Arabidopsis thaliana: one gene and its partners. The protein of the gene in region 4 purifies or fractionates together with the protein of the main gene of each other region. This does not show direct contact. Each region holds a gene or a part of one and is shown on either strand. Other genes may lie near its edges.

Evidence for each region.
Region 1: the proteins of AT5G06970 (region 4) and AT4G18060 fractionate together in Arabidopsis thaliana (co-fractionation; one large-scale study listed by BioGRID). This does not show direct contact.
Region 2: the proteins of AT5G06970 (region 4) and HAP13 fractionate together in Arabidopsis thaliana (co-fractionation; one large-scale study listed by BioGRID). This does not show direct contact.
Region 3: the proteins of AT5G06970 (region 4) and AT2G01710 fractionate together in Arabidopsis thaliana (co-fractionation; one large-scale study listed by BioGRID). This does not show direct contact.

Annotation. Positions count from the first base shown.
Region 1 is NC_003075.7:10,024,729-10,033,722, reverse strand, and holds AT4G18060 (SH3 domain-containing protein), read left to right. Parts: upstream 1-3,689; 5' UTR 3,690-4,060; coding exon 4,061-4,120; intron 4,121-4,325; coding exon 4,326-4,448; intron 4,449-4,571; coding exon 4,572-4,641; intron 4,642-4,745; coding exon 4,746-4,900; intron 4,901-4,997; coding exon 4,998-5,099; intron 5,100-5,181; coding exon 5,182-5,379; intron 5,380-5,453; coding exon 5,454-5,516; intron 5,517-5,587; coding exon 5,588-5,677; intron 5,678-5,764; coding exon 5,765-5,839; intron 5,840-5,935; coding exon 5,936-6,055; 3' UTR 6,056-6,442; downstream 6,443-8,994. Other genes in the region: AT4G18080 (uncharacterized protein), read left to right, coding at 1-513; AT4G18070 (suppressor), read right to left, coding at 1,394-1,489, 1,568-2,154, 2,779-2,884; ABCB9 (P-glycoprotein 9), read right to left, coding at 6,443-7,087, 7,163-7,426, 7,502-7,768, 7,859-8,042, 8,169-8,802, 8,903-8,994. UniProt on the Arabidopsis thaliana protein: May be involved in the recruitment of DRP2A to the accessory protein complex and in the negative regulation of its GTPase activity.
Region 2 is NC_003070.9:22,366,617-22,375,313, reverse strand, and holds HAP13 (Clathrin adaptor complexes medium subunit family protein), read left to right. Parts: upstream 1-3,090; 5' UTR 3,091-3,428; coding exon 3,429-3,557; intron 3,558-3,921; coding exon 3,922-4,068; intron 4,069-4,167; coding exon 4,168-4,230; intron 4,231-4,373; coding exon 4,374-4,550; intron 4,551-4,633; coding exon 4,634-4,737; intron 4,738-4,840; coding exon 4,841-4,948; intron 4,949-5,087; coding exon 5,088-5,184; intron 5,185-5,269; coding exon 5,270-5,367; intron 5,368-5,479; coding exon 5,480-5,621; intron 5,622-5,722; coding exon 5,723-5,845; intron 5,846-5,926; coding exon 5,927-6,025; 3' UTR 6,026-6,361; downstream 6,362-8,697. Other genes in the region: AT1G60783 (cyclin-dependent kinase inhibitor SMR2-like protein), read right to left, coding at 1-141; AT1G60770 (Tetratricopeptide repeat (TPR)-like superfamily protein), read left to right, coding at 6,666-6,893, 7,108-8,355. UniProt on the Arabidopsis thaliana protein: Subunit of clathrin-associated adaptor protein complex 1 that plays a role in protein sorting at the trans-Golgi network and early endosomes (TGN/EE).
Region 3 is NC_003071.7:313,605-317,493, reverse strand, and holds AT2G01710 (Chaperone DnaJ-domain superfamily protein), read right to left. Parts: upstream 1,847-3,889; 5' UTR 1,791-1,846; coding exon 723-1,790; 3' UTR 501-722; downstream 1-500. Other genes in the region: AT2G01720 (Ribophorin I), read left to right, coding at 176-301.
Region 4 is NC_003076.8:2,161,858-2,169,597, forward strand, and holds the start of AT5G06970 (plant/protein (DUF810)), read right to left. Parts: upstream 4,655-7,740; 5' UTR 4,321-4,654; intron 4,199-4,320; 5' UTR 4,148-4,198; coding exon 4,140-4,147; intron 4,024-4,139; coding exon 3,848-4,023; intron 3,762-3,847; coding exon 3,697-3,761; intron 3,498-3,696; coding exon 3,167-3,497; intron 2,855-3,166; coding exon 2,788-2,854; intron 2,656-2,787; coding exon 2,505-2,655; intron 2,148-2,504; coding exon 1,980-2,147; intron 1,890-1,979; coding exon 1,779-1,889; intron 1,502-1,778; coding exon 1,292-1,501; intron 1,025-1,291; coding exon 923-1,024; intron 828-922; coding exon 609-827; intron 211-608; coding exon 136-210; intron 39-135; coding exon 1-38. Other genes in the region: AT5G06980 (uncharacterized protein), read left to right, coding at 5,942-6,252, 6,362-6,521, 6,735-6,830, 6,919-7,028, 7,091-7,253. UniProt on the Arabidopsis thaliana protein: Controls the tethering of the proton ATPase AHA1 to the plasma membrane. Is essential for stomatal opening in response to low concentration of carbon dioxide and light.

The DNA of each region.
Region 1 (8,994 bases), on a different chromosome or scaffold from region 4:
TACAGTCTGTGTACAAAGCTATTAGGGGTCAATGAAGACGATACGGGTACAAGTGTAGTCATAGGAAAGCTCGAGGAAGTCTTTGGAGTAGTGATCTGGAAGAAGGAGAACAAGGAACATAATGTGGACCTTCCTGAATCTATTTTTCGGTATGATGATTTCATTCGTCTTTGTGCAGATGCAACTAGAGCCTTGGGAAAGATTGTTTTGGCTCTGGAAAAGAGACAGTGTGAAAGACTCAAGCTTTCTGATTTAGATTCTCTGTTTGAAGATTGCCAAAAAGTGTTGATGAAGATAGAGCTGAAGCTAGCAGAGATGAAGCAACAGGTTTACAGATCGGTTTCCACGGATTATGAGTCGTTTTCGAAGTCAGAAAGGTTTGATAGTTTGCTAAGAATAAAGCTCATGAATAGGGTCATTGCTGATAACAGATTTGGGAGATCAGTGATTGGATCTTACTTACTAGAGATATGGCAGTCTCTGTTTCAAGCAGAGGCATTACAGGAGCTGTGAATGATTAGAAGCATGATTCTGGATTTCTACTGTTCTTGGACCAGAGATTTTTTTGTAGACTTTGATTGGTAAATTTTGTGTAAAGTTTTTTGTTCTCTAGAAATAAAAACAATGTAGGTTCTTACACACGCTTCATACGAATGCTAAGAATTTTCGCATATTGTATCCATCAACTGTATCTGCAAGAAATGTGGAAACCGTGTGTAACACCGTGTTACTAACACGAATCCAATTTGTGGCATATATAGATATATTAATTTTAAAATACCGGTCATGTATGAAGCAAATATCTATATTAAACAGTCTCAAAGTCTCATAAGCTGAGAGAACGAAACAATAACAGACAAGAAAATGGTACATATCAAAACGAATGACAGAATGAAAAACTAAAAAGAACTTGGTAAGGACATATATAAAGAGCAGAAATTGTAAGCATATCTGTTCTGAATATTACTAGAAGATGAGTACTCTATCATTTGAGAAAATTTGTGATTTGAGAGACATTCATTCATCAAGTTACTGAATTTTCACAGGTGATCGAGAGAGGAAACCGATAATTCTTCGCCGCTATAACACTTCTGCAGCTTCCAATTTGTAGGCAACACACTGTTTCTGCTATTACATAGAAAATATAACTCATCAGTGACTCAAGACATGTGAGTTTTCAGACAGCAATGCAGGAGGCTATTTTACTCGCAGCTAAATTGACAGTACCATTGATGTTTATAGACTCTTGCTACAGAAATAATGAAGGAAATGCTTCCATGTATGGTTGTTGTCCATGAACTAAGAATCACATATAGATAATAGACTCATGAAACAAAAAGAGAGATTATGCATCCGACGATGTTTTCACATAAAACAGAGAAGTTACCTGAGTTTATCTACTGGATCCTGTGACCACATCAAACAAGCCGCAGCAACTAAACCATGAGGTTCTTTTCGCAATTCCATGTGTTGGTATCAAGATGGGAGCCTGAGAGAAAACTGATGTTAGTCTTTTAGGTAACATGAGCAACATAAAAGATGAACCAAATAGGTAAACAATAAAGACCTCTTCCTCATGAGAAATGACAACATTAGACTCTATGTTGCCTTCAGGAACACCGTTGGATTCTGGAAGAGGCGAAGTTTTTCCCTCATTTTCTTTCACATCAGAGTCAGTAGCACCTGAAGACGTCTGCCTAATCTCATCAAATGCAAGAGCAACTTCAGCAGCAATCTCAGTTGCTTTAGGCAAAGAATTATCATCAGCCTCGTTTGAGACTATTGTATCAACATGCGAGATCTCAACCAGTTCTCCAGATTCGGGATCATTCGGCACAGCTGAATCCATCAAACCAGTATTCTCTACAATCGCATTAGCAGTAAATCCCATAAACGGAGCATCTGCAGCAATAGGCACAGGTTGAATTGGCACAGAACTCACAGTAATAACTTCAGAAACATCATCACCAGTCTTCTTATCATCATCTATCTTCTTGACTTCCCGTGACTCATCATCCGAGCTGGAGCTGCTGCTGCTGCTGCTACTACTACTGCTGCTACTAGAGCTCTTGTCATGATCATGGCTTGAATCAGTGATCTCTATGCGTTCATTAACACCATCATCGCTCTCCTTGTCACCTTGGCTTCTCGAATCTAGCACATCAGTTTACAAATCCAATCAATATCACAAACAGAGTGACTTAACACTGACTATTCAAGTCAAATCTAACTATTGTACCATCCAGAGAATGAAACATATACTAGTAAACAAAATAGGCACAGCTACTACTAATGAAACCAAAGCATCAGAGATAAACAAAACTCAGCAAATGATAAACAACTTCAATCATAATCATGAATCTGATAAACAAAACTATCCTTTAGTCCAAAACAGAAAACTAGATTCAACCCATATGGATTACGAAGCAGAACATGCTAAAATTAACCGAAAGATCAAATTTTTACAGCTTGAGATCCCAAAATTGTGAGCCTAAAACCCCAATCAAAACACAAAGAAGAGTAAAAAAGATACCCATTTGTTTAGATCAATGAGCACAAAACCATAAAAATCAAAACTTGAAGAAACTATACAGAGAACAAAGTTAAAAAAAAACTCAGATTTAAAGCGAAGCAAATATATAAACAAACAAGAAAGGTGGCCTAAACGTGTGTGGTGTGAGTGAATAATTGAGAGATACAGAGAGACAACAACAAGAAGAAAAAGGCAAAAAGAAGAAAGTAGTAGTGAGATTATGGGGTGTTAAAAGAATTAAAAACCATGGTTGTTGGATTTGAGGTTGATTAGAGTAGAAGATCCTTGTTGTTGTTGTTCTTCCTCTTGCTTTTTCTTGGCAGCTTTCCTTTTCTTAGCACCTGAAGGCATGATTTAGGCTAGGCTCCTTTGGTGGGGATCGATCTCAAAAACAGCTATGGCGGATCGTGGCTTTTGTCTCTTTGATTTCTCTCTGTTAAAATATAATGGCGTCTTCTTTTCTGTCGAGCCGTAAATGTTTCAAAACTCAAATTGGTGGAAGTGGGAAAGTTTTAGATTCTTCTTATACATACATGTGAAAGGGTTTCTGAGTTTTATTGCTTTTTTTTAACTGTAAAATCACTAATTGATCTTCTTGTAATTTTGTTTCCGCGTTTGTTTCGTTTATTTTCCGCGTTTGGTTTACTAATTTAGCTATTAACGAAATAGTATAATGGATAGAGATTATTTTTGTAAAGTTTGTTCAAACAAAATCATCTTTACAACTTGATTGTGTTATAGATAAATTAAAACAAAAAAATGTTGTCATTCAGTACTTTAGATACCAATATACATTTGTCTTTTGGTTGACTATAATTTGATTTAAGTTTACATCAACAATAGAACCCTGTTTTAAGAACATGGAATTTAATGAAATATCTCACTGAAATTTTAAGTCGGTAGAGTAGGAATCTATACTATACTGAGAAAGGCAACGTTAATAATAAAATAAAAGAAAAAGTATATAGGTTGTCTTTTCAGATTATAATTATGTAATGGCAGTTAGGACAAAATGATATGGGAGGAGTGGGGACAAATAACAAGTGGTTATGAGTTGTCCATGTCAGTTTTTTTGTTAATACCTATACTTTTAAGTTTTAATTAACTTAATCTCAGTTTATGCCAAACGGATTTAGCTAATTTTAATTAATTACTCAATAATAATCGTAAGTCGTAACGTAAGGTTTTTAGTAGAAAAGCCTCGTCTGCTTCCAAATAATTCAATCGCGAACGCTCCTTTTAATCAGACCGGACCGGACCGGTTTGGTTCAATCAATCGAATCGACCCGACCCGCTTAGATCGATGTGTGTGCTCTGTGATTGACTGATTTTCTCAGAGGGATAATCAGTGACACATCGAGTCGAAGAAGAACATACATTTCTACTGAATCAGATCTGATCTGCTTTGTCAGTTTTTAAACTGTTCTGATCTAATTGAGATTTCTCAATTCCACTCAAAATCCTTTAAAGCTTGTCTCTTTTTGGTATCTCTGAATCAATTTGGGGAAATCAAGAGGAGAAGTGACAATGGATGCGTTTAGAAGACAAGCGAGTAAGCTTAGAGACCAAGTCGCAAAGCAGCAACTGGTAATTCCTTTTCATCGCCGCAACTAGTTTCACTGTTACCGATTCAGCGAAACGAAGCTCAATTTAGGTTCTTTGTTGCTAATTTGGATTAAAAAAAATGGAAACTTTTTGATGGGTTTTGATTTGTATATTATTGAGTATTATAGAGTTACACAATCTTGGTTGTGATGATGTGTTGATTGATGTGTGGTAATGGGGAATGTAGGCTGTGATAAAGCAATTCAGTGGGACTGGTTATGAAAGCTCAGATGTAATGGTGATTGATGAGCTTGAAATGCAAAGGCATCATCAACTCGATAAACTTTACCGCTCTACTCGTTCTGCAAAGGTTTGACTGATATTGACCTAATGGCATTGTCACATTTTATATGAGTTCATTGTTGGGGGAGAAGGTTTCAGTATGATTCATCGTAGCACAATACCCTCAAACATATGTTATTGTCACTTTCAGGAGTTCCAGAGAGATATTGTTAAAGCAGCTGAGGCATTTACCACGATCGGGCTCAGACACATTGAAGCAGGTACTTAACTACTTATGAGTGTCTGTTTTGTGTTACCTATCATTGAATTAAGTTATACTATGATACTTTTGTGAGTTTTCTTTTAATATTCTTTAAAATTTCAGGAACCAAGTTGTCTGAAGACTGTTGTAGGTATGGGAACGAAAATAGTCAGAACATTGATGAGAATATACTGGCCAAGGCTGCAGCTATATACGGTGATGCACGGAAACATGTAGACAAAGAACAAGAAGACTTCAACAAGCTTTTGGCTTCTCAGGTTCGGCTTGGATTATCTGTGTTTAATCTTAGTATGTTTACGTAGAATTAAATCTAGTAGATAACAAGAGAAAACCTTTTTGTTAAATGCCGTTAAGGTTTTGGATCCTCTAAGAGCTATGGTTGCCGGTTCTCCTCTTGAAGATGCTCGTCATCTTGCTCAACGTTACAGCCGCATGAGACAAGAAGCAGAGACACATGTAATCATCTTAAGATCTTAGTTCTATGATGATGTTGGCTATTTTATTTTGTAATGTAAGTTAAAACTTAAAAGCAAAACAGGCAACGGAAGTCTCTAGACGGCAAGCACGTGTAAGAGAAGCTCCGATTCCAGAAAACGTAGCAAAGCTTCAACTAGCGGAAGCAAAAATGCAAGAGCTAAAAGCAAATATGGCAGTCCTTGGTAAAGAAGCAACTGCTGCATTAGCCGCTGTTGAATCACAGCAACATAGACTCACTTTCCAGAGGCTTGTGGCTATGGTATGTTTTACATACACACACACTGGATTTTTTTGTCATATGCAGATTACTATTTACCTTATCGCTTATTCTAGGTTGAAGGGGAGAAGAATTATCACTTAAGAATAGCAGCCATCCTCAGTGACATTGAAGCCGAGGTTAGTATTGGATGAATCTTTCCCACATCTTTTTCTCATCAAAGGCTCACACTTTTGGTCTTACCGCGTAGATGGTAACCGAGAAACAACACAAAGAATCTGCTCCTCCTGCGATTCCAACAGAGAACGGCTCAGAGAAAACGTCATACTTTCTTGCTGAAGTAAGTTTTATCTTCCGTAATATTATCATCGCATATCTCACAGAAAGAAAAAGACTCTCCATAAGCAACATATATGTTCTCTCGCAGGTGATTCATCCATTTTCCGCTGCTTCAGAGAAAGAGTTAGACTTGGACAAAGGAGATTACATCGTTGTCCGAAAGGTTCACATCTTCTTACTAGTATCAAAGAACTAACTTCTGTAGTGAGAGAGCATGAAACTTAACTCTCTGTGTGCTGTTTTTCTTTCGTATTCTCAGGTGAGCCAAACCGGTTGGGCTGAAGGAGAATGCAAAGGCAAAGCTGGTTGGTTTCCTATGGCTTACATTGAGAAGCGACAGAGACTTCCCACTACCAACTTTGCTGCTGAAGTTTACTGAGTCTCTTCTTCAAAGATTTCATTTTTTCTTACATTTGTGTCTGAAAACTTTGTTTCAGTTATGTCCTGTCCCCAACAAACTACTACTCTTGTTCATATTTGTTGATCCAAAATAGAGTTTACCTCCAAAAAATGTTTTATTGATTCTTCTTATTGAAGAGTGTTCTTAATGAAGATAACAAGAAAAGGAACAAATGAAACGTTTCTAACATTTGGAACGCACTTTGTTAGAAAGCAAACCCAAAGAATTCAATTAGTGTGGTACGAGGCTTTTAAAGCTCGAAGTAAAAGGATCTGTTTGTCTCAAATTTATGAGTTCCAATGGACAAAATTAACGAATCAATTCCAAAAATTCTCTCTTTCATTCCAACCAAAAACAAAAAGTCTCTTAATTTGCACTCATGTGCAGAGTGACAAGAGAAGCATAAGCACCACCTGAAATCTTCATCAGTGTCTCATGCCTTCCTTTCTCAGCAATAACTCCGTTTTTCACAACCGCGATCACGTCTGCGTTCTTAATCGTCGTAAGCCGATGAGCCACAACTACAGTGGTTCGATTAACCATAACTCGATCAAGTGCATCCTGAACAACACGCTCAGATTCTGCGTCCAATGCACTCGTCGCTTCATCAAGCAACAAAATCTTAGGATCTTTCAAAATCGCGCGCGCAATCGCAATCCTCTGTTTCTGACCGCCCGATAGCTGAACACCGCGTTCTCCAACCGACGTATCGTAACCCTGAGGCAATGAGCTGATGAAGTTATGTGCGTTTGCGGCTTTTGCTGCTGCTATAATCTCTTCCTCTGTGGCTCCACCGGTTTTACCATAAGCTATGTTTGATCTGATCGTCTCGTTGAACAAAATCGGTTCTTGACTAACCAAACCCATCTGTTGCCTTAACCAACTCAATTTAAATGTCTGAATCTCCACCTGATCGATCAAAATCTTGCCTGAATCTGGATTATAAAACCTCTCAATCATGCTTATCACCGTTGATTTCCCGCTCCCGCTCTCTCCAACAAGTGCAACGGTCTGAAAAAACAACCAATAACCAATATTAACCGGTGAACCAGATTTAACCGGTAATTAAAAAGCTCTGTTTTTTACCTTTCCAGAAGGGATAGTCAAGCACAAATCTCTGAAAATCTGAACGTCCGGTCGCATTGGGTATCGGAAACTAACATGTCGGAATTCGATATCACCATTAACGTTTTGTAACGTTGTACCTTCATCAGAGCTAGAATCAATCTTCGGTGTACTATCGAGAATATCGAAAATCGAAGCTGCAGAGTCTTTAGCTTTGTTTGAATCAGGTGCCATAGCACTCGTTTGAGAAACTCCAATCGCCATAATCGTCAATGCAAAGAAAACCTGTAAAAAATACACTCTCAAGATCACTAAACCGAACCAGATCTTAATTAAACCGAGAAATGTTTCTCATCTTACCTTGAAGACTTCACCAAATGTGGCTTTACCAATTTGAATCAACCCGGCACCACTGACGAAACATACACAATTGATGCAATAGAGGAAAAAGAATGAGAAACCGAAACCAGCACCGCTCAAAAGACCTAACCGGACACCGTTCTTCTTCGGTCCATCGCATTTTTGTTGGTATAAATCCATCACTTTCTCCTCTGCACAGAAAGATGCAACCGTTCTTATGCTGCTCACTGCATCATTCGCCACTTGACTCGCTTCTTCATACATCGCCTAAACCAGAAAAAAAATCGATCAGTAAACCCGAAATCGCGACTAAACCGGGATATATTCAAAAAAATGTTGTAACCACTATATTAAAACCTTAGCATCAGCGCTGAAACCAGTCAAGAACTTGGTTTGAGCATATCCTTGGATGACAATAAATGGTGAGAGAGCAAGAACTATGAGAGCTAGGATCCAATTCGCTGTAAACGCTATTATCAACCCAGTGGTTACAGTAGCTATGTTTTGTACTATTAACGCCAATGCATCTCCTACCAAACTCCTCACTGTTGAAGCATCCGTGGAACATTCTCGCTCCAATCGCACCGGGGGTAACAAAACGCAAATAAATATTAGAATCAAAACATACAAAATACGGCGGTTAATTATATATATAAAGTTATAGTACCTGGAATTGGCTGTGTCATCGAACCAACTGATTTCTTGATGAACCACTTTATCAAAACACATTGATCGGATGCGTTTAATCAATTTCCCTCCAGCGATTCCAAAGAAATAGTTTTGGACCGGGATCATGACGAAATTGGTTAAACCGAGAGCGATATAAATCAGCGCCCAAAAATGTGAATCTTTCTTCAGTATCTTTGCTGGTTCATAGAACATATTGATTGAGCTGGAAAGCAATAAACCGAAGATGGGAAACACCGTTCCATGAACCATTGCAGCAATTGAACCGAGTACCAAAACCGGAATTTCCGGTTTGTTAAGGTGAGCAAGTCGTTTTAATGACACTTTCTTGTGCCTCACGTTGTTTTCCTCGTCTTCCATCTCGTCGGTTTGGTTGACGTTAACTCCCGGAAAGAACATATTGGAAGCGAGAGAGAAAGAATGGCGGCTGCTCGATGAATTCCGGCTAACGGATCTTCTCATCGCAGATGATAGCCTAAGACTTCCTGACCTCTCGACGTCTAAGCTTGTTTCAGGTCTCTCTGATTCGGTAGCTTCTTCTTTTGATCCTTCTTGAAGACGAACAAGCTGTGAATAAGCTCCCTCGGGATCTTGAATCATCTCATCGTGAGTTCCTGTAGAATATTTACAATTGATTGCTTATACAGTTATAGACTTATAGTTCATAATATCGTTCTCGAAATATGTAACTTTGAGCACACGGTAACTTTATACCTTTCTCGACAATTTTTCCTTGGTGGACAACAGCGATTACGTCTGCAGTTCTTATTGTGGTCAACCGGTGAGCGACCACAACGGTAGTCCGG
Region 2 (8,697 bases), on a different chromosome or scaffold from region 4:
GTTGGATACGGCAGAGGAAGAGAGGCTAATCGGCTTCACCGTAGAATGTAAGGAGATTCCGGTGATGACGCATTTCTTCCCTTCGGTAGTTTCGCTAAATTTTCTGTCAAACTGGTGGTAAGTCTTGCCGGAAAATCCCATAAGTTATCGTATGAAGTTAAGAGAGAAACAAGAATTTTTTTTGATGTAAATGAAGGAAATGGAGAATGAAAGAGTAAAAGATTAGGTTGTTGTTAAAGTAAGACTTGTTTGGAACGAGAGAGAATGTGAAGAGAATGAAACATGTGATTCAGAGAAGGGGATTGGTCTTATAGTCAACAGTGACTTCAAGACAATCGATCGTTCGATGTCGATTCAGTTCAGTTATTTTTTCCACGAATTTTTTTTTTCGAAAATTCGTATCTTAGTATTTATTTCCTTGGTTACATTAAAAGAACGTAACGAAGAGATAGTGACATTGAGTGTACATTGTATCTTTTATTAAATGTGAGAGAATATCCTTTTTTGTTTCTTTTCTCAAGCATAAAGAATGTAATCATGGTATTTAAAGCATATGTTTAATGTGAAAGAAATACAGTATTATGTACCCTAAATGGAACAACTTATTTTGATATACGTTCTTAAGTTATTTTTTGATACATAATTTAGTGGTGATGCCAATAGTTTTTGTTTTAGTCATACAAACTGAAAGGTGCTATAGTTTTTAAAGGGTGGTGCAAAAGATATCGATCGTAGTCAACTAAAAAGTGCCCTAACTAATGATTACGATAATCCGTTTTATATTGGTCGAAGTTAGGTGATTAAAATATGGTTTCTCTACAAGTATTTTGTTTGGACACTGCAAATAAAACCTTCATGCACATAAATTCTGGAACCATCTTCATTTTTTTCATAATTAATCTCTATCATATATAGTAGTATAGACCCCGAAGTAACTTAAATACCAATTATGTATTATAAATACGGATTGATAACATTTCATATCGAAACATTTCATACATTTTATATCTGTAATGTTACAACCAGTCTAAAGCCAAGGATTCTAGAAACTAGAAACAAATTTTACTAAAATTAATTGAGGGAAAACTCAAGAATGTGTGTGTGATCATTGAAGAAATGAAGAATGTGTGTTAGAGTGAGTGAATATTCAAAAGACTCAAATAGGTTTTTAATGAACAATAGGGAACCCGAGGAAACGCGTGACTCTAAGATATATGAATTTATTTTGCACTTATTACTTTTGATTAATTTTTATATTCTAACCCTTTTTTATATACTATTTTTTTCAGTGCAAGTAATGAATGAAGTAACGAGATGAGAGTCTAGTTTCAAAGTTTTGAATCTTTTTGGTCAATGTCGTCTCTATTTGTTGACCATATTATACGTTTGACTTTAACCCCATTTTTCTTTAATCTCATTCTTCTTCTTTGCTTCAATGGTTGACGAATTCTTACCGTAGAAGTTGCATCTAAATATACCAAAGATTAATACTGCGAAAATATGATAAAGAAGATTTTTTTTTTTTGTACTCTCTAGAAATTTGTAAACGATATTATTAGTGTTTGATTAAAGACTCCAATTTTTAACATAATGTCTATATCCACATAATGAATTTGTGTCTCTACTATATGTAGTGTTCCCGTCATATATGCATTTTTGCGATAGTCAATCGGATCTTTGTATTGCGGTTAATTGATCTGGTCTTTCTTGAGCGTACAAAATAAATAGAATTGTACGTATTATTAGAGATGGTTACATTTGGTTTACATTATTAGTTAAAGTTAACCAATAATGTAAACCAATAAAGTTAACCAATAATGTAAACCAAATGTAACTATCTCTAATACGTATGTTGACTATGATGTACTTCAAGACAAGTTCATCATCACTTAACGTAACTAACACTATATTAGTTAAGTTCAAGACTTATTGCCCATGATTCATTTGTAAACTATGAAGTAACATATCTCTGATTTTTTCCTCTTATGTTTGATAAATTAGTCATTATAATTAGTGTCTTGCCAAAAAGTACACTTCTATCTTATTAGCATTCTACATTACAAACTATTAATTTCACTACGTATAGCGGTATAGGGAGAAGATCAATAAGGCGATCACAATATTAGTTAAGTTCCGAGTCTTGCATTACCATTGTCCTATGAATCACAGAACAAGAGGACGCATATATATATAGTATTTATAAAAGACTAAGATAGTCACAGAACAAGAGGACGCATATATAATTGACAAATACTCAAAACATGTGAAAAGATAAGGGCTATTACGTCTTCATTAAGATCCCATAATCTTTATGATGAGAACTTAAGAGCCAAACTAGCTATGTAACAAAATATCAAGTTTGAAAGTAATAAACTGCTTGAATAAGCTTCAAGTTCACTACATGGTTTAGAAAGGTTTAAAATCTATTACTTTCAAACGCTTTTATTGTGTACCAATCAATCCAACAAAGTATGCAATCGTACTAATCAATCCAACAAAGTATACACTCACACCGGTAACATCAAAAATTCAAAAATTCAAAATTTCATGTTACCAATCAATCCAACAAAATATACAATCCCTGAGACCGAGTTATAATTTGTTGGAATGATTGGTACCAGTGAAATTGTGTTGTCGTGTGAACATCAACACATAGGAGGTAATATACGTAAATATGCTAGCAATCAAGCTAAGTATACAAAACACTTCATGTTGCAGTGTTCTATTGAAATTTTATATATCGAACTAGAATACTATCATGGAGAATGATCAAATGTTGCATATCTTCATATCCACGAAAAATGAGTACACAAACATTCGATCATACCCCATGACAGTTTTCTAGTTTATACTTGATAGTCCTCACGATTTCATGGTGGTGACACTACACAAACCCTAGATTCCCCTAAAGTTTTTGTGAAAAACGCATATGTTCGATTTTAGGTTTTACTTCTATCCTTGATTCATTACAAACCTATTTTTATACTAATTCGTCGTTAACCTAATAATTTTAACCTACGAAACCCAACCTATATGGGCCTGACTTTATGTAATGATCCAATGGGCCTTTCTTCTTCAATGATGACTTTCTTCATTGACTCTCCTTCTACTTTCGATGGTATTAAATTTGACGGAAAAAGTAAAACGATACCGTCTGGGTGAAAGGCAGAGCTCTTTGCTTCTGAATATTATTATTTTCTTAAATTCTTCCGTTTTTTTTTTTAATCCAACCACAAGGATCGATAACGAAATCATCAGATCGCCAGAAAAAAAAAAAAAATTGCGAAATGGAGAATCTGAGCTGCAGATCTGCGTCAATCTCCATCTAGATGTTGTTGCTACTTCTTCCTCTATAGAACCATAATTTCATCAGATCTCGCTGATTAATCATCCCCATTTGGATCTGATCGAAACTCTTAGGGAAGAACATGGCAGGAGCTGCCTCCGCGCTGTTTCTGCTTGATATCAAGGGACGCGTTCTCGTCTGGCGTGATTATCGTGGCGATGTCTCCGCTGCTCAAGCCGAGCGATTCTTCACTAAGCTCATCGAGAAAGAGGTTGTTCTGATCTTCCTCTTATCGCTAATTGGTCTTTGTTTATTGCTTGGTTACTGTAGAATTTTCAGAGAAACATAGAGTTAGCGAACGAACTTGTAGATTTGTGTTTGAAAGATTCGTCAATTGGAATTGAAACATTTCGAAGATAATGGATTCGTGTCCATTTTCATCTGCACTGGAAATGAATTTTGAAGATAATGGATTCGTATCAGTCTTTGTGATCTGATGCCGCTGAAATTTTTTGGAAGTAATGAACAAGTTTGATCATTGGTTAAATGTTTTGGATTAGAATTTGATTTGAATCTGTACTTTTGAAGCATTCTGGTTTAAATCAGAGTAATCATCGTTTTGTTTAATTGTTCAGGGTGATTCACAGTCAAATGATCCAGTTGCTTACGATAATGGGGTGACTTATATGTTTGTACAACATAGTAATGTATACTTGATGATAGCATCCAGGCAGAATTGTAATGCTGCCAGTCTTCTCTTCTTTCTTCACCGCGTTGTCGATGTAAGTATGGCTGGTCAATTCTTTAGTTTTTCTCTTAAGGTTCCATCTTTTTCCTGGATATTTGATGTAATGGCAATGGTATCTGTTATCTGGTTATAGGTTTTCAAGCATTACTTCGAGGAGTTAGAAGAGGAATCATTGAGGGATAACTTTGTGGTAGTGGTATGTTAAGCTTCTGTCATCGCTCTTTTAGTACTATTTCGCAATATATTTTTCTATTACTTGGGCAATCAAAAAGATCCTTAAAATTTTGGAAAAGTATTTGTCATTGTTAGATGCTGAAATTGATTTTTTGGTGCTGGCAGTATGAGCTACTTGACGAGATGATGGACTTTGGTTACCCTCAGTATACCGAAGCAAGAATTCTCAGTGAATTCATCAAGACTGATGCATATAGAATGGAAGTTACACAGAGACCTCCAATGGCTGTGACGAATGCTGTCTCCTGGAGGAGTGAGGGAATACAGTACAAGAAGAATGAAGTGAGTGCCATTGTTTTCGCAAGATAGGAATATGTTTCTGATGTTTCGGTTTGCAAATAATGACAACCTGCTTCTTTTTCCAGGTTTTCTTGGATGTTATTGAGAATGTAAATATTCTTGTCAACAGTAATGGGCAAATTGTCAGGTCTGATGTTGTTGGAGCGCTGAAGATGCGAACTTACTTGACGTATGTCAACACATCAAATTTACGATATAGTTCCTAATCAGCCAAAGCATGTTAAATCACGTCCCTTTTTGACTATTTTGCTCTTTGATCCATTCTATTGCAGTGGAATGCCAGAGTGTAAGTTAGGACTGAATGATAGAGTATTGCTGGAAGCGCAGGGACGAGCAACTAAGGGAAAAGCCATTGATTTGGAGGACATCAAATTTCATCAGTACGTCTTTAAGTTTTTATTATATTGAAACTTGGAAAGTCTTCACTGATCTTAACCCTTCTATTTTCTTTTTGTTCAAAAAGATTATATACTTGAGTTTTATGTATTCTCTTCTTCAACAACCATTTATTTAATGCAGGTGTGTTCGATTGGCCCGTTTTGAAAACGATAGGACGATATCTTTCATACCACCTGATGGGGCTTTTGATCTGATGACATATAGACTCAGCACTCAGGTTTGACATGTGGGATATAGCATCTACTGGAATTGTTCCACGTCTTCAACAAGTAAATATCATGATTTGTTTCTTTTATGTTCAGGTAAAGCCACTTATATGGGTGGAAGCACAAATAGAAAGTCATTCAAGAAGTCGTGTTGAGATGCTCATAAAAGCTAGAAGTCAGTTCAAGGAACGAAGGTAAATATATTCTATGGTATTTGTGCCACTTTCCTTTTCTGTCTTACTGTCATGCAAAGATCCTGATTGATCAGATTCTTTAAACCTTTGATCACGAACATTCTTTTTGTAGCACCGCAACGAACGTTGAGATTGAGTTGCCTGTACCAACCGATGCATCTAACCCCACCGTTAGGACATCTCTAGGGTCTGCCTCTTATGCTCCTGAAAAAGATGCGTTAGTCTGGAAAATCAAATCTTTCCCGGGGAACAAGGTATAACACTAACAAGGTTCAATAAACTCTTAAATTCAGTTGAAACAGTCAGCAATGTAGACTATGTAGTATCAATGCTAACCTTCAGAAAACCAATATAGGAGTACATGTTAAGGGCAGAGTTCCATCTTCCAAGTATCACTGCAGAGGAAGCAACTCCTGAGCGAAAGGCTCCTATCCGTGTCAAATTTGAGATCCCTTATTTCACTGTTTCAGGGATTCAGGTAAGCTTGTGCTTAATAATAAATGGTTACTGTCTCTTCCACAATGTCATATATATAATATATATGTTCTTTGGTGTGTAGGTTCGGTACCTAAAGATTATTGAGAAGAGTGGGTACCAAGCACTTCCATGGGTGAGATACATAACCATGGCTGGTGAGTACGAACTAAGACTCGTGTAATGCACATTTAGTTTCATCGTCTATGTCAATTGTGATTCCCACATCCCTCAAGGAATTGCCTGAATCAAAGAAGCAAAACGAAACAGGACAAAAGTAGAGGGAAAAGAAAACGTTTTGAAACATTTTAGCTGATCAAATTTTCCTTTAATTTGTTTTAGAAGCCATATTCTTGTGAATTTGTCTTTATGGTGATTCTATTTTATTTTACATGAGGCTCTCTGTAACCTTTCACGACATGGTTCATTATTTTCCTTTAGACTGCTACATTTCTGTCTATGTGTTCGTTCTGCGATCAAAATTGTTAAACGTTGAGGTTTTGGTTTTGTTTTTTGGGGCATTCGTCTATGTTTACATAGGTTTCTCTCGAGTTATGATCAAAATGAAACTACATAAACAAATTATGCTTCAATAGAGTGAGGTGAGAGAGCCTTACAATAGAGAGAACGTATATTTTGGTGTTTCTCATATTGTTTAACTGATATAGTATGGGCCGAAATGAAATAATCGTCAGGCCCATTAAAAAGCCCATAATCACCATACTTTCTCCTCCAATTCTGTTTCGAGCTTGGGAAGTGACAGTGAATTAGGGTTTTACTCAAAAAACCTTCTCGTTGTCGTTGTTTACTGCTCCGACGAGAAAATGGCGATGCGACATTTGAGCCGATCGAGAGACGTTACAAAGAGATCGACAAAGAAGTACATCGAAGAACCTCTGTACAATCGCCTCTTCAAAGATGGTGGTACAGAGGTCAAAGTTCGACAGCAGCTTAATCAGTTCCTCAAAGGCACTAAACACGTCTTCAAATGGGAGGTCGGCGATACGATCAAGAAACTCCGAAATCGCGGCCTCTATTACCCAGCTCTCAAGGTTTCATAAATCCAAATTGCATTTTCGATTCTCTAGGATTAGCTTCACAATAAGCATTTGCTTCAAATCTGTTGAATACATATAGAAATGTAGATTCTTAAGTGGTATTTTGATGCTCATTATGAACAATTTAGTAATTGTTGAATAATTTTTTCACTGTGTGATGATTGTGTCTTTAGATTTCATATTGTGGAGTTGTTTTTTTGGTTTGTAGCTATCTGAAGTTATGGAAGAGAGAGGTATGAACAAGACAGTGAGTGATCAAGCAATCCATCTTGATCTTGTTGCTAAAGCTCGTGAAATTACTGCTGGGGAGAATTATTTTGTTGATCTTCCGGAAACATCTAAGACGGAACTCACGTATGGGTCTCTTTTGAACTGTTACTGCAAGGAGTTGTTGACAGAGAAAGCGGAAGGTTTGCTGAATAAGATGAAAGAGCTCAACATTACTCCTAGTTCCATGTCTTATAACAGCCTCATGACTCTTTACACCAAGACAGGTGAGACTGAGAAAGTTCCGGCGATGATTCAAGAATTGAAGGCGGAGAATGTGATGCCGGATTCGTACACTTATAATGTCTGGATGAGGGCTTTGGCTGCTACTAATGATATTTCTGGTGTTGAGAGAGTCATTGAAGAGATGAATAGAGATGGTAGAGTTGCTCCGGATTGGACTACGTATAGCAATATGGCATCGATATATGTTGATGCTGGACTGTCTCAGAAAGCTGAGAAGGCTCTTCAGGAACTGGAGATGAAAAACACGCAACGGGATTTTACGGCATATCAGTTTCTTATTACTTTGTATGGACGTCTGGGGAAGCTGACTGAAGTTTACAGAATTTGGCGTTCGTTGAGGCTGGCTATTCCGAAAACCTCAAATGTAGCTTATCTAAACATGATACAAGTGCTGGTCAAGTTGAATGATTTACCTGGTGCAGAGACATTGTTCAAGGAATGGCAAGCTAACTGTTCTACTTATGACATCAGGATTGTGAATGTGTTGATTGGAGCTTATGCTCAAGAGGGTCTAATCCAGAAAGCAAATGAGCTCAAGGAGAAAGCTCCCAGAAGAGGTGGAAAGCTCAATGCTAAAACATGGGAGATCTTCATGGATTACTATGTAAAGAGCGGTGATATGGCTCGAGCACTCGAATGCATGTCAAAGGCAGTCTCCATCGGCAAAGGAGATGGTGGCAAGTGGCTACCGTCACCTGAAACAGTCAGAGCTTTGATGAGCTATTTCGAGCAAAAGAAAGATGTTAATGGAGCTGAGAATTTGTTGGAGATTTTAAAGAATGGAACAGACAACATAGGCGCAGAAATATTTGAACCATTGATAAGAACATATGCAGCAGCGGGAAAGAGTCACCCTGCTATGCGACGGCGCCTGAAGATGGAAAACGTGGAGGTTAATGAAGCGACAAAGAAGCTACTCGATGAAGTATCTCAGGATGTGTGAGGTCTGTTCCATCTCTTTCTCCTTCATTATTCACTTCAGACAAAGACATCATTAGTCGTGATAGGGTCACTTGCATTCTCACAGCTCTGTCTCTTATTGGTAATAAAAAAATAGGCTCTGAATCGGCAAAATCAATTGTATGGGTCTGTTTTACTTTCACCGTAGACTGTTTGTTCATGTTTTTGTGAATTGTTTTTGGTTTAGCTTGGATTTACAGTTGAGACAGCTCTCACAATGTAATCCCTTTTTTTGGAGATCTTATTTTGGTTCAAGACAGAAACAGTGTCAAGAATACGATATAATGCTCATCATTGTTAATGAGGAACAAATGTTTGCGTATTG
Region 3 (3,889 bases), on a different chromosome or scaffold from region 4:
CTAGCAATTTCCACAGACTTAACTATATCACCATAATGAGCCAATTCCTTTCTTTCTGCTATGTGTAGTAGTATTAGAAGAACCCTAAAAATCTGAGTGTATTAGTGTTATTAGCAATAGGCTCATTTTGTTCCATAAGTTACAAAATTGCTTAACATGTGTGACGATTTTGCAGGTGTACTATACATTCAAACCAATATACATGCTAGCGGAACCATTCATGCTTGTATCGGCTTTCTTCTTAGTATTTGTGGCTTCGCTTGCGTATGTACACATCGATCTCAATATCGTCAGGAAGTAGAAGTCTTATCAACAGTCCTTCGCTTTCACTTATAGACTCGTAAAAGAAAATACTTTTGATCATCACTTGAAGAACTAAACTTTGTAGGTGTTGCTGCTTTTAGTAGAGTTATATCTTTGACACTACTTTGCTCTCCAATCTTGATTTTTCCTCAATTTTATTTACAGAGAATCTAAAGTGTTTAATCCATCCAACAAGTGAAGTGGAAAAGAGCGAATTGCCAAATTATGTAATGAGGAAAATGTTTCAAAGTAAATCAAGATAACACAATTACACAACGGTAATAACAACAAATGCATAATAAAGTTTACACTAAGACAACAAACGCTGATCCTAAACTTCCTTGCCTTAAAAAAAACTTGCCTTTAAAATTTTGTCTCCATAATTTTAACAATCATGACCGGAGTTTGAAAAGAGATCACTAAACCGGATTCTTCTTCGGCCTTCCTCTTCCTCTCTTCTTCGGTGTTCCATCTGAATTAACTCCAACACCATTATTACTCCTCACAGCCTCATTATCTCTCTTCGCCGCACCACCTGACCATCCATCAAAACTAACACCATTACCACTTGGAGGAGCTGCAACGCCGCCGGATGAGAAAACCGGAGGCATCCAATTAGGGAACTTAGCTGCATCTACTCCATTAGCAATGGCAGCTTCTCCTCCTTTACCACCAACAAACCCCATCGGAAAAAAACCCCAACAACAATAATACTCATCTTTACCAGGTATCAACGGAGGCAACTGAGGAATACTCGCAGCGTGAAACGCTCTTTGACAGTTTTGACATCTAATACAATACTCTTGATAAACCCTAGGATACTCATGAAGACTGTAACAGTACGGACACGCCGTCCAAAACGTAGACATCTTCTCATTCGTTGTTGTTTTCTTCTTCGATTTCTGAGTGTTGAGATTTACTTTAGTGAAGATGAGATTCAAATCTCCATCGAATTGAGATTTCTTCGTAGGTGTTGATAGAACTTCCCATGCATCAAGCACGAATCTGAAAGCTTGATCGGCGAAAGGGAAACGGTTTTTGTCAGGGTGGAGAAGAAGAGCAAGACGACGGTATTGTTTCTTGATTAGATCGTTGTCTGTTGATGATTCAGTTAGATCTTCGATCTGAAGGATTTTGTACCAGTTTGGTTGGTTTTTGATACGATTCTCTGGTGCTGATGAGAGTAAGACATCGACGACGGCGAGGATTTGATCGGTGCCTTCGAGGAGTGGCTCTGTCTCTTGAGCTAAGATTGCAAACTCTTTTGAACCGTTTAGATCTCGTGACTCGAGAAGCTTCTCCGCGATTCCGAGAAGACGTTCTGCTTCTGATCGGTTAGGGTTGTTGTCTCCCATCTTTCTTCTTCCGTCGGCGATGGCGGAGAAATGGTGAGCAGATCTAAATATTATCGCCTCGACAAGAGACGATGAAACAAGGCTCTGATTGGCTGTGTGTAAAAATGGTCGGGGGAAAAAAAATAGTAACATTGGAGTAAACGGAAACTAAAACTTTATTTGTTACCAAATTTATTTAGTAATAAAATCATTTCTTCATTTTTATGTTATTATTTTTCACAATTTTATTTTATGTTATTATTTTTCACCCTTTTATAATGTTACCTACTTACAATTCGTTTCCTATTTCGCCATATTTATAATATTGCAAATAAAATCCAGCTTTGTGTCACCAGTTACAAAAATAATATGATTATATACTTTATTGGTTTTATTAACACTACATTAAAAAGGTAAATAAAAGGAAAAATTACTATAGTATATTGGAAATAAAGTCGGTATTTGACTCACTAGAGAGTTATAATTTATAAATGAGACATAATTATTGTTTATTCATCTTATTCAGACAACATAACTAAAAAATATATGGTCAAGATAATATTAAATGTTTTAAGAATGAAAATTTTCTAGAGCTAAGAATATCGGAAATAAAGTTAGACGTATTATGTTTAACAGAAAAAGAGGCAGAATTATGGCAGTTAGCTCAATTTGAGCTCAATACCAAAAATAACGGTTCCATGGGATCGAAAAAACAAATTCGGGTTCAGAATATATCACACGATAATATTTATTCTGGTTTGCGTTGTTTTGTGGACGGATCTTGGAAAGGAAGCGATAAGTTTTCTGGATTAGGGTGGTTTTGCAGATCATCAAATGGAGACTCGCCAACCATGGGAGCTGCTAATCTTCGTAGAAGTCTTTATCCACTCCATACAGAAGTCGAAGCACTACTTTGGTCGATGAAGTGTATGATTGGTGCCGACAACCAAGAAGTAGCATTTTTTACAGACTATTCAGACTTGGTGAAGATGGTGTCTTCTCCAACCGAATGACCAGCGTTTTCAACTTATTTGGAGGAACTAAAGACCGATATAAGGAGGAATTCACAAAGTTTTCTTTATCTTTAATTTCTCGAACTGCAAATGTAAAGGCGGACAAATTGGCACGAAAAATTCATATTGAACCGCTTCATGTCACTTTTATAAATAATTTTCCTCACAATTGGCTCTTTTGAGCTCTAAATAAAATCTGTTGACAAAAAAAAAAAAAAAATCAGAAATAAAGTTCATCTATGACTACCTACCAAAACAAAAGTTCATCTTTGATTCACTCACAAAATAATACAAATAAAACATGAAAATTATAAAAACATTTAATATTATCTCTTACCATAATTTATTTATTTGTTGTACATAGTACAAATAAAATGGAAATAATAATTATTTTTTATTTGTAACGTTTGCCGGCCGAATAAAATATTAAATTTATTTGCAATACTACTCACAACAAACTTTACAAATAAAACATGATTATCGTTTTTTCTTTTCGTTCATTCAAACTATAAACAAAAGCAATGAAAGCATGATAAGAAATGATATTAAATGTTTAAAAAATAAAATTTGATATAACTATATTATTGGAAACAAAGTCCATATTTAAGTCACCTATAAAAAAGCATGATATGAAATAATAATAAATGTTTAAAATAATAATATAATATCTAATGGTATTTGAAATAATGTATGTGTTTGAAGATGTTATAAAAATGTTAAAAATAAAAATATAATTATCAATATTGATAATAATATTCATATTGATATGAAGAAATGATATTATTTCCAACTACAATTTATTTACTTTTCAATGTGATGTGAATAAATAAAGAATAATCATGTTTTAGCTAATGTTTCAAAATAGAAAAATTAATATAACCAAATACTGTAACCTAAAATTGTAAAAAATACCACTCTAGTAAATACCAATATTACCCCGGTTAGCTGCTACTAACATTAAGGGTGAAGTTGTCATTTGATACAGTGATCACGCACTTTTCACTTGTCTTCTTTATTAGTTTTTTTTCCTTGTTTTTTAAAGACATCACTTGTGACCAAAAAACAAATCCACTAAGAAAGAAAAACAAATTAATAAAAAAAAAAGATCAGAAATTAGTTTGTGCAGAAATCGAATTGGAGAAACCGAGTAACTATGGTAGCCACAGATGAGTTCATCGTTTTTGACCAGATCTGATTGTTTTCGTCTTTGCCGTTGAAATAATCCTCCGCTCCTTCTTC
Region 4 (7,740 bases):
TCAATTTGCTCTCGATCTGAAGAGTTAGAATGCATCGCCTGTAGAGAAAAATGACAATCATTCTCAGTTACAAGTACAAAAGTCATGTTGGGGAAACTATGTCACCATCGCTCCATTAAAAAGCAGGTAACATACTCGATCAGATTCCTCCAACAAGAGCCTCCAAGTTATCATTGCAACTGTGACTGTATCCTCCATGACAAGTGAACCCTGAAATGTAGATAAAAATAACAAAATATCTAACTTCAATGGTATAAATAGAGAAAAAGAAATTGCTTGCAATAGAAATGTATTTAGAAGTAAGATAGATATAGGGAGCCTGAGGTGGACATACTCTTATTTGGATTTATGTATGATATATAAATTTAAGTGTGATATATTCATGTGTGACATACATATGGAATAGTTGGACATATTAAACAATGCGTCAATTTTCTGGACACTACTGAGACTAATGTGTCCATTTGATGTAAAAAACACAATATCACATAAAGCAAGAGTACAGCTCACTAGACAAAGTAAAAGAAGATGGCTAATCCTATATACGAATTACTGTAATTGAATTGAAAGCAACTAATGTGTCTGAACGCATTTGTTTTAGATAAAACCTCGGCAAAATGCAGATGGTAGTCGCCCAGCTGCTTATCGGCCCAACTCCGTATAGGTGACAAGAAGGACTCCAGGAAGGATATCTCTTCATTATCAACCCTACACTTCAAGGTTTTCAAGTGTAAACGCTCTTGAGGCCCTCGTTGTTCTTTTAGTGGGATCTTCTTCAGCTGCTGAATAGCATGTCGCAGAAGTCCTCGTTCACTAGTAATGACATACTGCAACCACACAACACACTCATAAGCTACCGTAAAACTTCCCAGCTGAAGCATCAATATCGTTACAATAAAGAAAATATCTAATCCATCATTACCTGTCGAAACAAAACCCAAGCATAGCATGTGTAATGGATGGTCTCTGTAATTCCGAGAACACGCCATGTTGACTTCAAAAGCTCAAGAATTTCTTCAACTTCCTAAAATAAAATAACAAAGGTTACTTTATGAACATTTCATAGTAACAGAAACAATAAACTGTAAGGCAACTTGTCAAGAATTTCTTTCTGGTAATGTATATGGGAATTATAATATGATGGAAAAACAAAACAGAGGAATCTAAGCAGCTCAAAGAGTGTCAGCTGATAAAAAGAACAAAAACCTTTCAAATCAATATGATTTTTAAATGACCAAGAATATTGCTTCTGGAAAATGTATTCAATAAAATTTTGACAGAATTCACAGACCTCTGTGAGCTTCCCATCATTCAATATGTCAAAGACACAGAGAAGCAATTTTTCATATAGTCTGACATTCAAATGATAGCCATCAGCCCAATGGCAGACTTCACCCGTCAAATCACCACGAGCCGGTCTCTCAGCAAGTGAGATAGCAACTTCTCTAAGAGATTTTAAACATTCTGCTCTTTGCACTTCTCCAGCTGAGGATGGAAGAGACTATAAATAGAAAGGAAAGTAAAAGAGAAGTCAAAAAACATATCATGAAATCACTAAATGTAAGAAAATTCAGTTATTATGGGATAAAAGCCAATAGAGACAACTGCCAGAAAAAAAAGACGCTAAGCCATTTTTTTCCACAAAGAATAACCCATCTTAACCTTTGGATGATATTATGCCACACCCTTAAAGAAAAGACCTAAAAATACCCACTTCCGATATCTGATGTCTACACAATATAATAGATCACATAAACATAATAAGGTGGAAAAAATACCTCTGATTCTTCAATCCTTAGCAGAAGACTCTTCAGGTCAGTTGCCTTACGACCTGATTCTCCAAATCCAACAACTGGATTGTTAATGAGCCCCTCTGCTAACATGTTTAACTGAAATACCAAAACATTAATAGATGATAGGACCAAATACTAAAAGAAAGTACTCAATATTACACTCAGATGTGAAAAGGTGGTCTTTACCTGCCTTTTCTGCCAGCGTAAGTATGCTTTCTTGTCAGAGAACTCGGTACGAGACACGCAACATAGCAATTCTAAAGGCACCAGGAGGCTGTCCATTCTTTTGCCAACTTTTCCCGCTAGGGCATTAAGCAACCCTTGTCTTGTTCTGATGTCCATGGCCTCAGAAATCTGTATGAGCCGAAAATATTAATTGTCGTATACAGAACAAACACATAAAGTAGGCTAACTGAGAATCATATGGTAGTGCAGGCAACAGCGCCAAAAACATAATACAATACATTGACATATGGAAAGAGTAAACTGACAAACGAAGCGAAAAATGTCCAAGCGCATACTAAAAAATCAATGAAGCAGAGACATTTGGCATACAAAAATGAGGGCATCTTAACATGGTAATTACATAAGAACAACTTTACAAGAAAAGATAGAGTAGTAAATATGTAATTCCATGCTCTGACAAACCATATATGCCTCAACAACAGAGATAAAAAAGTAACAGTAAGAGAGAAAGAGAGAGGGAGTGACCTCCATTTGGCCCCGCATCATTTCTAAAAGAGAAACCAATCCTGATGAGCTCTGAGATTGAGAAACACTCTCACTTTTGCGACCAAGCTTCTTAATCAGCCTAGACCTGCTTTTCTCCTTCTTTTTCTCTTTTGATGGTACTATGAGACCTCTACATGATGAAAAAATACATGTTGAAAACATATGAAAGAGAAATTATATCAGTAAGGATGTGACTAATATTATAAGCACACCTCAACTGAACAAAGAAAGTAAAAAGTAAGCAAGACAATATTCTGTATACCCTGAAGCTCCAGCGCAAGCCAAAAGTATTTCAAATGCAGTTTCACGGAGATCATCATCGGTAATACCTGAAACAGAAATACATTGCAACTTTCTTAATAAATCAGCAGGGCCTTGACTTTTCATAGGTGTGGGTGTACTACTTATGGTCCAGTCGTAGTTAGCTCTGGCTACTGGATGGTATAAGCAATGATAATTTTACAAGTACTCCTTTAGTTTCTCGAACTAAAATGCCCTGTCCATAAATAATAAATTACCAAGTCTACAAATGCACGTATGATCTGAATAATTTTATGAGGTTATTCAATGGAATGACAGTAACAATAGTATTCCTTTATCAAATTTACTTCTTAAAGATATGCATTTTCCAAAAATATTACCAGTCGCAAAGGAGGGCAGTCTTGGCACAAGATCAGCAGCATCATTTGCAGTCCGCCTAGAGATCCTGAAATTACCAACTTCATCAAGATCATCATCGTCTTCAAAATCATCAATGTCATCAACAGTCAGCTCTTGAGCTTTTGGTGAATCAAAAGATTCTGATCGCATCAATGGTGGCGCAGATGGTGACTCACACCACTCGGGATTTGTAACCATGGGAGAAGATGAGGAAATTAATACAGGAATAGGCGGTGGGGCCCTTTTTGGAGGTGAGCCAGAAGATTCAGGAATTGTAGCCAAAAAGAATTCATCAGCAGTACCCACGCTGTTCTGAAATATACATAAGACTCAAGCATTTAGAAAATGACTTATATAAGTCGATGGAGAAGGAGTCCGTTATATGTTAATAGCAAAAGGTTTTCCAGAAATGAACAGGCATTATCCTAGAAACTGTTGCAAGCAACTCCTAGTAATGCTTAACAAAAGTTAGAAGTATCAATTAAGAAAGCAATATGTTACATGTACACACCATATAAGGCAATCCAATGTGATCATGATAGTCCCGAATCGCTTCAGCGAGTTCGAGCATTCCACCTAAATTGAAACAATACACACTATTAATCTGAAAGAAAAAAAACAGAACGATCACGAAAACAAAAGAAGAAAGAAGCTAGTAGTACCTTTCTTAGCACAGTTAATGACATAATCAACACTAACTTGATCTAAATCAACATCGTCAAGAGTCACAGCACCAGGAGGCATTATAACTTTCTTGATTAAGCTACCAGCCAACATAAAATCCAATAGCTTCCGCCTATCCCGGCGATATCTCTGAAGAATCTCGACAGCATTTTCTCTATACACGCAAGAAAATACAACAGCACATCGATCAAAATGCAATAGCAATAAAACGAAGAAGATTGTACAGTAGCCCAAAAACAAAATCAAAAGAAGAAGAAGAAAGAAACATACTCTTCCATCTCGATCCAGCTGCAATAATAGTCACACGGATTCTCAGATTTCCAATTGACCTGTGAAATCAAAAGCCACGAATCAGTAAATCAAATCGAATCAAGTCTACTTCAAGTACGAGAACTAGAGACTACATTTGAATGCAGATTTAGTTTTAGAAGTAGAGTTTAACTGAACTAACCAATCATTTTATCAGATTCCTCGCAAACACCGGAATTATCCAAAGGAAGGATTGATTTAGTGAGAATTTAGAGACGACTGAATACGAATATGATCTGGTAAATGTAGATGAATGAACTGTTTTGGAGAACTTCGAGCAGAAATTTCGAGGTGGTGATGAGCAAATCTAGAGAATGCGCCGGGGCCGAAAGATCTATCTGTATATTATTATTTGGGAAAAACAAAATGAAGCTGATTTGTCTCAACTTTAATTTACTCTATCTCCCTAATTTTCTTTCTTTGACTTCTTTTGTTATTCCAGAACACCGAATTTGTCAAAATTGAAGTCTCAACTTCATTCATAGTGAAGAAAATATACTATGGGAGTATAATATTAATTTTCATTACTGATTTTAAGTAATTAGATAATTATTTAGCTTTTTAGTATTCCTAAATCTTATTTCTTAATGAAGATTTGAATTAATTTGGAAATCTTAAAAAGATTAATGTTATTCAATTATCACTGATTTTAATATTACAAGTTGAAATTCCTATGCTTTTCACTAATGATATGAATATTGGGCCCTCATGGGCCACCTTCTTCCTAAACTTATCTTCTTTACTTCTTTCACAAGCCTTGTATACAAGGGCAATTGCCTCCACATGAATAAACAAGAAACCTCACAAGAACTTCTATGTTTTTTTGACATGGTATCAGATTAGCCAACACATCTTTCCACATTGTTTATGTTTTCGAATTTTGGACCGAACTGGATATAAACATAGATTTTGTCAAGCCCATATGATTTTTTGTCAGGCCCACTATATCATATATTAACCTTACGAAGTAACAAGCAAAACTGGATTAACCACTTTACCTATAAGATCGTCGGCAGCTGGGTGGATTTTCAAAATACCTCCTATAAAGGACCTAAACCAATTTCCAGTTTTAAAAGTTTTGCTTAAGAGAGTGAGAGCCTGAGAGGAACATTATCCACTGCATCCCCATGAGACCATGGGTCCCACTCCACCGCAAAACAGTCTGTCACGTGTCATCACCTCCCTATACCTACAGGACACGTGTCTACACCAAATCGAGTGAACATGTGACGTGTCGTCACCAAACCTGAGCCGCTAACCACTGCCTGATCTGGAGGGTATATCCGTAACTTAAAATCCTTTTGTCGTCTACCCGTAAACAGACAACTTTTAAGAACTACAAAAACGTACAAGTTGGCCAGTTGTGTCTTGCAAGATTTAATTAATTTTAATTCAAGTGCCGACCTCACACAGAAAAAGATATGTTTAACACGTGGACCAATGAAAGAGTTGCTTTAGATGGAGGAGTAATCTAAGCCACAAATCTCGTTTGTGAATTCTAAGCCACTAACTAAAGTTCAAACTCACGCGCTCTCCACTTCCTCTCTTCAACTTGCTTCTTTGTCTTCTCTCTCTTTCCTCCTTCGCACTCACAAATCTACAGAAGATAGAAGAAGATAGACTCATAATCTTTTGGATTTGGATTTAGATCTGATCATAAAGGTGACTTCTTTTGATTATTTTATTCTTAAGAATTCAAATGTTTTTCTCCTGTTGGTTGCTGAATATAGTGAGTGACTTGTTAGCAGGTTAAAGTATCATTCATGGATCGTTATTCGAGGAGGAATTTAGAGGATCTTGTTGTGCCTAACTATCAAGAGACATCAGATTCGTACCCTTCTCCTGATATGTGGGGTACTGGATGGAGCATGAACTCTTCAGAAGCTGCTGAGAAATGTTTTGATTATGATGTGATTCACAATGGTTTCAGTGGAGGATTATACAGTCAGATGGAGATGGATATGGGAACTAGTGAACAAGTAGAAGAAGAAACTAAGAAGTTAAAGGCTAGTGGTTGTTTTGACCGTTCGCTTCATGATTTTGATGAAATCCAACACATGGATGACATGTTCTTGTAAGAAATTGTTTATATATCACATAAAAAAAAAAAAAAATCTATATAGTTTTTCGATGTTTATATTTTTGTGTCTCTCTCTTTTTGTTTCCGGTTTTGACTGAAGAAGTTCCATTTTGGAGGATGTTCCAGGGAATGAGAATTTTCTTTCTTTCAAGGAGTCGGATAATAACAACAGCTCCAGTTCCTCCTATCTCGACACAACTGATGGCAGGGAAGTCCCTTTGTTCCATTACAACTGGGAAACTTGTCAAGATATGCCACTTATGGTAAGAATCGACTCTTTTGATATACTAGCAATGTTAAATAGTAGAAAAGAGAAACTAAGTGATTGACAAATCTTGTTGAATTCAGTAGACTCTTGGGATTAGTCTGGTTTTGGATTTTGGTCTGAGATCTCTCGGTTATGTGTTTGACTATTGTTGTTCCAAGTGAGATAATAGTAAAGATGTTAATGATCTTGGAACATTCTTTTGGTTAAGGAGGAGGATGCACCTATGAATCTGTGTGAGGAGAACAAGGAGGAGGCATCTGCTGAAGAAGTTGTGTTGCAGGATCTACAAAGGGCTACAGAAATGGTGAGTGTGGTGATTTGATCTAGCCTATATAATCTTCTTTGAGATTTGATCTGTCTTGTAACAGACTTTTACATTCTTCTTCTTATAGTTGACTGATGATACCCGCAAGTGCTTCCGCGATACCTTTTACCGGCTTGCAAAGAACTCACAACAGAAGTCAGACTCCAACTCGGATGAGTTCCTTGAGGATAGAACCAGGTAAAGAGAGCTTTTTTCATTAATCATACTTTGCTTAAAAATGGACTCATCACCTTCAATAGTTCTAATGACTCATCACCATCTATGACGTTTTTGTCAGTAGGGAAACTGAATTTGAAACCAAACTCAATCGACAGAGCCGTGGCCAATCTCACATTCAACAAGATGGAATCCAACATGAGAAATATGCCTCCACCGAAGAGACTTTCTTCTGTTCAAGGATAAGAGAGTTTCATCATATTTGGTAATACCATATGTGTATATAATATATATGTGTGTGTGTATGTGTGCTTGGCTTGACTTTTTCCAAGCTTCAGTTTTGATCTGTTTCATTAGACTCTGACTCTGCTTCTGGATTTCCAATTTCTTATGCTATATGTTATTTACCGAGTGAACCTGTGAATGTACATTACCCCATGTAGAATCTGTTGTTTCAATGTATCAAAAAAGATATTCTTCAGACCTTTTGTTAATTTGTTGATAAGAGGAGACACAGAAACATATCTAAGTGGGAAACGACCTTGGGAAACAGCAAAGCAGAGGAATTAGTCTTATACCAGCAAACATAAACATCAAATACCAAAACAAACACAAGTCAATTTCAATATCACCCGACCATAAACTAGAACCGGCGAACTCAAATATAAATTATCTAAGAAGAAAGTCTCTGACTCACGTTTGCATATTAAATAGGGATATAATATGAACTCAA